Linked DNA regions of Oryctolagus cuniculus. The protein of the gene in region 1 purifies or fractionates together with the protein of each later gene. This does not show direct contact. Links are inferred from orthologs where the notes say so. Each region holds a gene or a part of one and is shown on either strand. Other genes may lie near its edges. The genes, in order: ACVR1 and TGFBRAP1.

Region 1 (3,817 bases):
TAAGATGAACTCATTCCATGGAATATTTAATTATGCACTTGCTTTGTGTAAATGTTTGTAAAATCAGAATACAACAGTGCTGGCTGCCCCTGAGGATGCGGTGGGACGAGGCTGACTGGAGGAGCCTGCAGTGACTTTCTGAAGCAATGGGAAATTCTGTATCTCAAGAGGGACTGGAATTTTGTAGCAATTGCCAAAACCCTGAGAATATACTAAAGATTTGTATATTTTACAGTATGTAAATTTCGCCTGAAAGGGAAAAAAGAATAAATAATACATTAGTTCAAGATATTGCAATGAGCATGCTAAAGTTGCTACAGAGAAGAGTTCTTTCATCTGTAATTCACTTTGCAAATGTGTCAGAGTTAAGATGGATGGATGGAGGATGGATAGCTGGAGAGACATGCAATAAAGCTTAAGAATAATTAAATGTTACCAGAAGCATTCAGATGGTATATACACAGTTGTTCATTACAAAGTTATTTCAGTTTTTATGCACAATTGAAATTTTTTACAACAACAAATTAGGAGGCTAAGAAGTTCAACTTGATTAAACACTGGAGTGCAATAAAGGCAAAAATGGTAATACTTTAAGAAATTTACCCAAATCTGCTATGCAGCACTGTCCATTCTTCTTCACCAGGATGTTTTTGCTTTTTAAATCCCGATGGGCAATGGCTGGTTTCCCTTGGGTCCCAAATATCTCTATATGCAGATGTGCAAGACCACTGGCTATGGACAGCACTATTCGAAGGCAGCTAACTGTATCCAGAGTAGTGAGCTGAAGATAGTCATACAAGGATCCCATCTCATGATAATGTGTAATTAACCACAACTGAGTACTGGAGTGTCTTGATGTCATGTCTGAAGCAATGAAACCTGGAGAGAGCAACAACAAAATTAACACAGTGAGAACTCCACACTGTAACTTTTAGTATTTTGAAATGGTGCTTTACACAACAGACATCATTTGTTTGAAAAAAGATTAACCCATCGCCATGACAGAAGGTTTATAGATGCACCAACAGAGGAAAATAATAGCATTTATCCCTTACAAAGGGCACTGCTAATGAACAGGGAATTTCAGGAGGAAGGATAGAGTGGGAAGAATCACTGTCCCTAAATCTGTATATATAAAATACATGAAATTTGCATACCTTGAATAAAATTTTTTAAAAAAGAAATTTTCATATTCCTTTCCATTCTAAGTATTATGGTTTAAAAAAAAAAAAAGATTTGTTTTATCTATTTGAAAGACAGTTACAGAAAGAGAGTGAGAGACAGAGAGAGGTCTTCCATCAACTGGTTCATTCCTCATATGGCCACAATGACCAGGGCTGGGTCATGAAGTCAGGAGCTTCTTCAGAAGTGGAGCAATCAGGACTCAAGCCTGCACACATAGGGGATGCTGGCACTACAGACGGCAGCTTAACCCACTATGCCACAAAGCTGGCCCTGAGTGACTTTAAAAAAAATACTTCACATTGTGTTATGATTCAGACAGGAATCTTTGTGCTCACCCATAAGGACAGTGCCAAACTCTTATCACATTGATCTTCCAAGTATAGAGCCTTCATCAGTCACCCTAAAACATAAAACCTGGAACCTAGATACTTAGATTCCATTCTGACCCTGCCTGTAACTTACAGTGCAATATCAGGTAACTCAAACCTGCTCTCTGGCCACTTTTGTTGGGACACAATATAAATAGGTGAGTTTATACCAAATGACTGATTAAAAAAAAAATCAAATAGAACAAGCACTTACAATGCTATCTGTCAGTTATACGGAAAAAAACGAAGATGATAGCATTTATTGGCTAGAAAAGGAAAAATAAATAAAAGGGGAAAATATACACAATAATCTGTAATATTCATCTGCATAGGACACCATGAGCCCAGGGAAGGGGATTACATTAAGTCAGACCTGACTCCCTTCAGTAAGCGGCCACGGAACAGGCCTCTCCCTGACAGAAGGTAAGTACTGACAGATGTGGCCAAACCCAGAGAGAATGATTTTTCTCCTGGACATTCTGAGGGGATACTTGGTATTTCCCTTGGGAACTTTTAATCTTTAATGACTTTCTCAAAAATAAATGCAAACTATAAAAGCACCACTCAAAAGACTTTAAATTGCTGCCACGTATTTGTGTGGCCTCTCCTGATTTCTTCCCCAAAGGAAAAGCAGCCTCTGAGTAAACAAGTAACAAATTTTTATTCCCCCGCCTCCCCTAAGGCCCCTAGGTCTTAAATAAGGACTTTGTCTGTCCTGTTCATTATGCTACAGACTTGCATGGACAATGAGCTTACCTCTTTCCTTGCCCAATCACGCTTTCCAACATGTCCCTCAAGCTCCTGTCCTGGCTGTTCCCTTTACAGGGAACACCCTCTTCCTAGGAGCGGGGCTGACTCCCTGACCTCTGGCGAGTCTTAGTTCAAATCCAGCTTGATCTAAAAGGCTAATCCTGACCACCACGTTGGAAACTACAACTTATCCTCTCTAGGCATTCCAAATCTCCTTTACAACCATCTCCTTCCGGGGGAAAAAATGACTTCTAAATAAGCAGGGCTCTTTTCAAAGGTTTCTCTCTCAGGAGTGAATTATATAGCTATGTTTGCTTCACAGGGCTGGATGTTCACTTATGTAGAATGTCTGTGTTTTGAGTCAAAACACTTTGCTAGGGGTATGGATTGAGGCCAGTAGTTAAGATGCTCACAGCCCATAGCCTGCTCCTGACTCCAAACTTTCTGGCATGCTTCCTGCCAATGTAGACCCTGGAAGCAGTAACGGCTCAAGTGGTTGGGTTGCTGCCATTCATGTGGGTGACCCGGACTATGCCCTGAGCTCTTGGCTCCAGACAGCCCAGCCAAGGTCACTGCATGAATTTGGAGAATGAACCAGCAAATGGGAACTCACTCACTCACTCACTCTTCACCCTCCCCCTTCTCCCTGTTTCTCTGCCTCTCAGAAAAAGAAAAAGAAAGAAAGAGCTCTACTATTAGTAGAGATTGTACAGCTACCTCAGGTTGGAATTCTGGCATAGCCACTGGATGTGTTCATAATAGGAAGAGAAAGTGATTAGTGCAAAAGCCTCTTACTTAACAACCAGTCATCCTCCTAGGCTCCTTAAGAGGTCAAATAAAACCCAAAGTCTTAAGTAAGGTTATCAGCTACCCTCGTGAGCCTCTCACTGGCAATGCTCCCAGGAACAACGTACCTCCTGGGCAGCTTTCACAGGCCAAGTACAAGGCCACCATGTAAGACAGCATGGTTGTGGGGCCTCAGAGCTACCCTACTAGGATTGCATACTGGCTCTACCACCCTGGGGCTAGCTGATTTTGCCCAAGGCATATAAAATTTCCACCTCAATGTCCTCATTTGCAAGATAAGGATAATAACAACATATATTTCAAAGGGTTACTGTGAGAGTAAGAGCTATTACATGTAAGATGCTCGGAACAATGCCCACCACATAGTAAATGTTCAAGAACAGTTAGTGATTGTAGTATTATTGTAGTAATTTGATGTCATATCTTTTTAGGGAGATTCCTTTACTTACTGATCTCAAGAATTTGATTAAACAGCTAGGTGGTAATTTCAAGAGCAAGTGATAGCTCAGGAGATAAACGCTGGCGATGGTTATACAACAATGTACTTAACACCACTAAACTATACCTTTAAAGTGGTTAAAATGGCATATTTTCTGCCATGTATATTTCACTACAATTTTGTACAGAGTAGAAAATAACACTTCAGAATGAATTTTTCCTATGGTTTTAGTGATAAGGAAAAGAATGCTGAGAAAGATGTAACTTTA
Region 2 (3,817 bases), on another chromosome or scaffold:
GGCTGGGCGTCCCTACTGCCACACGCCCAAGTCACCTACCTAACCAGGGGCACAAGCTCAGGCATTCGAGTTTCAGTGCCCACCATGGCCTGCAAGCTCCCCCGCTCATGCAAACTTGCCTGTTACGACTGCTCAAACAGTACCTCCTCCAGGAAGTTCTTCTGGGCCCCTGTCCTGTCTACAACTTCCTCAGGCCTCCTCTGTCTTCCCATTACACTGAGGATTAGATGCAAGTCTCACCCATCTTTATGTCCTCAATGCACAAGAGTACACTGGACACACTGTCTGTACCTAAAGCTGGGAGACCAAAAACTGATCAACAGGGGCCGGTGCTGTGGCGTAGCGGGTAAAGCCGCTGTCTGGTAAAGAGAAACTTGTGACTTACCCTCGACAAAGCACAAACCCAAAAATTCAATGTCATCAAGGACAGCCAAAAAGCTCTTTTGTTCTACCAGGTGTGAGTACCCACCTGCTCAATGGTCCCTTCTACACTATGGGAACTGGCGCAGCAGATGATGCCACGGCCTGGGATGCCAAAATCCCATACGGGCATCAGTTCAAGCCCCAGCTGCTCCACTTCTGACCCAGTTCCCTGCTAATGTGCCTGGGAAAGCAGCAGCAGATGACTCAAATACTCGGGCCCCTGCCATCCAGGTGGGAGACCTGCAAAATGTTTCTGGCTCCTGGCCCAGCCAGGACATAAAGTGCCTGGCCCAGCCCTAGGGAGTGAACCAGAGGATGGGAAATTCTCTCTCTCTCTCTCTCTTTCAAATAAATAAAATATTTATTAAAAAAATATAGAAACTGTGGTTTCTGCACCCCCGAGCAGTGGAACCTGGAGCCTGTCTAGGATACCTGCACTGCCTTCCCTAGACAACACAGTATAACAGCTGATGACATAGCGTGCGCATTGCACTTGGGTGTTACAAAGAACCTACAGATGACTTCAAGTATGTAGGAGGAAGTGCACAGGTCATATGCAAATATGATGCCATGGGACTTGAGCCTGTGCAGAGTTTGGTATGCCTGGTGTCCTGGAACCAATTTCCAGTGGACACCGAGGGGTGGCTGACCTGGAGTCACTGGAAGGAACTATTCAGTGCTTCAATGCTGAGCAGAGCAATTGGAATGGAGGTATGGTCAAGAGACACGCAGACGTCCAGACTCTACTGGGCACCTCTGATGTCATCAGTCAATGGTGCTGTCCACCTCTGGAGGTGAGAGCAAGAGGCACCTTGCCCTTCCCTGAGGAATCAACCCCGGAGCTGGGCCATGGTCTGCCTCTCTGTCCCTCCCATCCACCCCCCAGTCCCCTGACACATGTCTGTCCATGGAGAGAAGACTTGAGACCATCCTCACCTATCAGAAAGTGGACTCGGTACGAGTCGGATTTCTGGAGCAGCTGCCGCAGCTTGGCCTGTGCCTCCGTGGCTGCGGCCCCCTTGTCGTTGGCGGACGCCCTCTGCTGCAGCACCTCGTCCAGGTAGAGGAGGGCTAGGTGGGTGTGGTACTCTTCTTTCTGCAGGACACAGGGAGCCAAGCAGACAGGGCGTTTGCAAGTCAGCAGGCAGTCACACCGCCACGGCCAGGGCTGTGCGGGGGAGCTGTGCTGGATTCTCCAAAGACAGTGGACAACGTGGCTGCCCTGGAGACTTCTCGGACACCTCCACGCAGAGGGGATGAGTTTAGAGTCCGTGGGGGATACACAGTGGGGTTACTCCTCACCCTGGGAAGTAAGGGCCATAGGTTTAGGGGTTCTCCAGAGGAGCCCAGCTTTTCCCATTTCCTTTAAGGATTGTAACAAAGAAGGGAAAGAGAAAAAGAATCTAGAACACAGGATAGGGTGTAAAAAAAAAACCTGCCTAGGACGCAAGGTGTCTGTCATCAAGCCTCAAGTCCCCCTCAAACCATCAACAAGGACTGACTGAGCACCCAGGGAATGTAAAATGGGACATCAGAACCCTCCGTCAAAAAGCTTATACAGTCAAGGTGCATTTGTTATGGCACCGCGGGAGCTCTGCAGGCTGCCCCAGCCTGAGCTCTGAGGACTCACCTGCAGCCCCCTGTCCATCACGAGGTGTTCCAGGTATTTAACCAGGGCTTTAGGGTACTTTTTAAGGCAGCTGATAATGTCGTCTGGGTTGAAACTGTCCTGCTGTTCATCCAGAGGTCTCTTGGTGAAAACCTGAACTCCAACCTGCAACGGGAGGAGCGACTTGGTTACTATGCTTTCAAAGCCACCTTCTCTTTGTCTTTATCCTGCACCCTGCACGTTCACACTCTGCGGTAGGTTCTTGGTCTAGCAGTTAAGTTGCCCATGTCCGAGTTCGACACTTGGTTCCAGCTCCTGACTCCAGCTTCCTGCCACTGCAATCACTTGGCGGGGTGAGGGGTGGGGACACACTAACAGCTCAAGTAACTGGTGTCCTGCCGCTCGGGGGAGACCTGGCTTGAATGCCAAGCTTCTAGATTTGGCCTAGCCTCTAGCCCCGATCCTTGTGGACATTTAGGGAGTGGATGGAAGCTCTCTTTTTCTCAAGTAAATAAACAAATCAAATTTTTTTTTTAAAAAAAAAGGGATATGCTACATTAAATATGTCTAGTTCTTCAAATGTCAATCAAGTGGGTTAAAAAAATTATGGTGACAGAGAAAATCAGTCCATCAAGAAGCACTGAGAAAGACCAGGGAGCAGACAGAAGACAGGAGAGGCAGCCGAGACTGACACCCTCCTGGGACAACCCACTGGACTGTCTCTTAAGAGGCTCGGAAGCTAAGGGATGGCACGTTTACTGGTAACATGGTGCAACAGCAGCTTTGTAACAGTAATAGGGATGCTCACTTGCCTTTCAAGAGTGCTGGGATTGATACAGTGATTGACTGTAGAGACTGATACAGAGATTGATACAGTCATAAAAGTGATAGATTGATACAGTGAGCTCAGTTCTCCTTGATGGACCATTTGCCAGACATGGTTGACCAGAGGTCTGTGCCTTCTGCCCCTGCCTGTCAAGTGCCGTGTGCTGGTCCCTGTCTGTCTTCCAGAGAGATTTTGATGAGACGGGCAGGGAAGTAAATCCATCCTGTGCCTACCCTGCCACAGTTTGTGGAAGGGCTGGCATTGTGGCATGGTGGCACAAACTGCCACTTGTGCTGCTGGCATGCCAAATGAAAGCTGGTTCAAGCCTTGGCTGCCCCACTTCTGATCCAGCTTCCTGCTAATGTGCCTGGGAAGGCAGTGGAAGATGGCCCTGGTACTTAGGCTCCATGCACCCAAGTGCAAGGCCAGGATGGAGTTCCTGGCTCCTGGCTTCAGCCTGACCCAGACCTGGCTGTTGTAGCCATGGTGGTGGTGGGGGGAGTGAACTAGCAGGTAGAAGATCTCTCTCTCCTGTCTCCTTCTCTGTCATTCTTTCAAATAAACCTTAAAAAAAAAAAAGATTGGAAAGTGGAATTAAAAGATAAATTTCTTTTGATGTAAAAAATTTTTAGAATCATGCATAGTTTTTCATAACACACATTATTCCTGAACTTTTTTGAAGATCTCTTGTAAAAGCACACATGCCATAACCTCAAAAGATCAGAAAGACAGCATAGCTGTTGCAAATATAAATTCTGAGTTCAATGTAGAGAGGGTCTTCAAAAAATCCATGGAAATGTGTATTACGGAAAAACTGTATGATTTCCACTCCTTTGCAACAAAGTAAAGCTTTCTCTTAGTTCCATTTTTCTATGAACTTTTTGAAATCCCCTTGTATAAGCTATGACAGTAGGAAAGTTTCTAAACCTCCAGGAACCTCTTTGTGAGTTGCTGTAGCA

The links.
Region 2: the proteins of ACVR1 (region 1) and TGFBRAP1 purify together in Homo sapiens (co-immunoprecipitation; 3 studies listed by BioGRID and IntAct, counting the BioPlex papers as one, with this or other methods). This does not show direct contact. The link is inferred for Oryctolagus cuniculus from reciprocal best matches to the Homo sapiens genes ACVR1 and TGFBRAP1.

The regions. Positions count from the first base shown.
Region 1 is NC_091434.1:84,290,613-84,294,429, reverse strand, and holds part of ACVR1 (activin receptor type-1), read right to left. Parts: intron 880-3,817; coding exon 604-879; intron 1-603. UniProt on the Homo sapiens protein: Bone morphogenetic protein (BMP) type I receptor that is involved in a wide variety of biological processes, including bone, heart, cartilage, nervous, and reproductive system development and regulation.
Region 2 is NC_091433.1:103,327,247-103,331,063, reverse strand, and holds part of TGFBRAP1 (transforming growth factor-beta receptor-associated protein 1), read right to left. Parts: intron 2,198-3,817; coding exon 2,054-2,197; intron 1,520-2,053; coding exon 1,360-1,519; intron 1-1,359. UniProt on the Homo sapiens protein: Plays a role in the TGF-beta/activin signaling pathway. It associates with inactive heteromeric TGF-beta and activin receptor complexes, mainly through the type II receptor, and is released upon activation of signaling.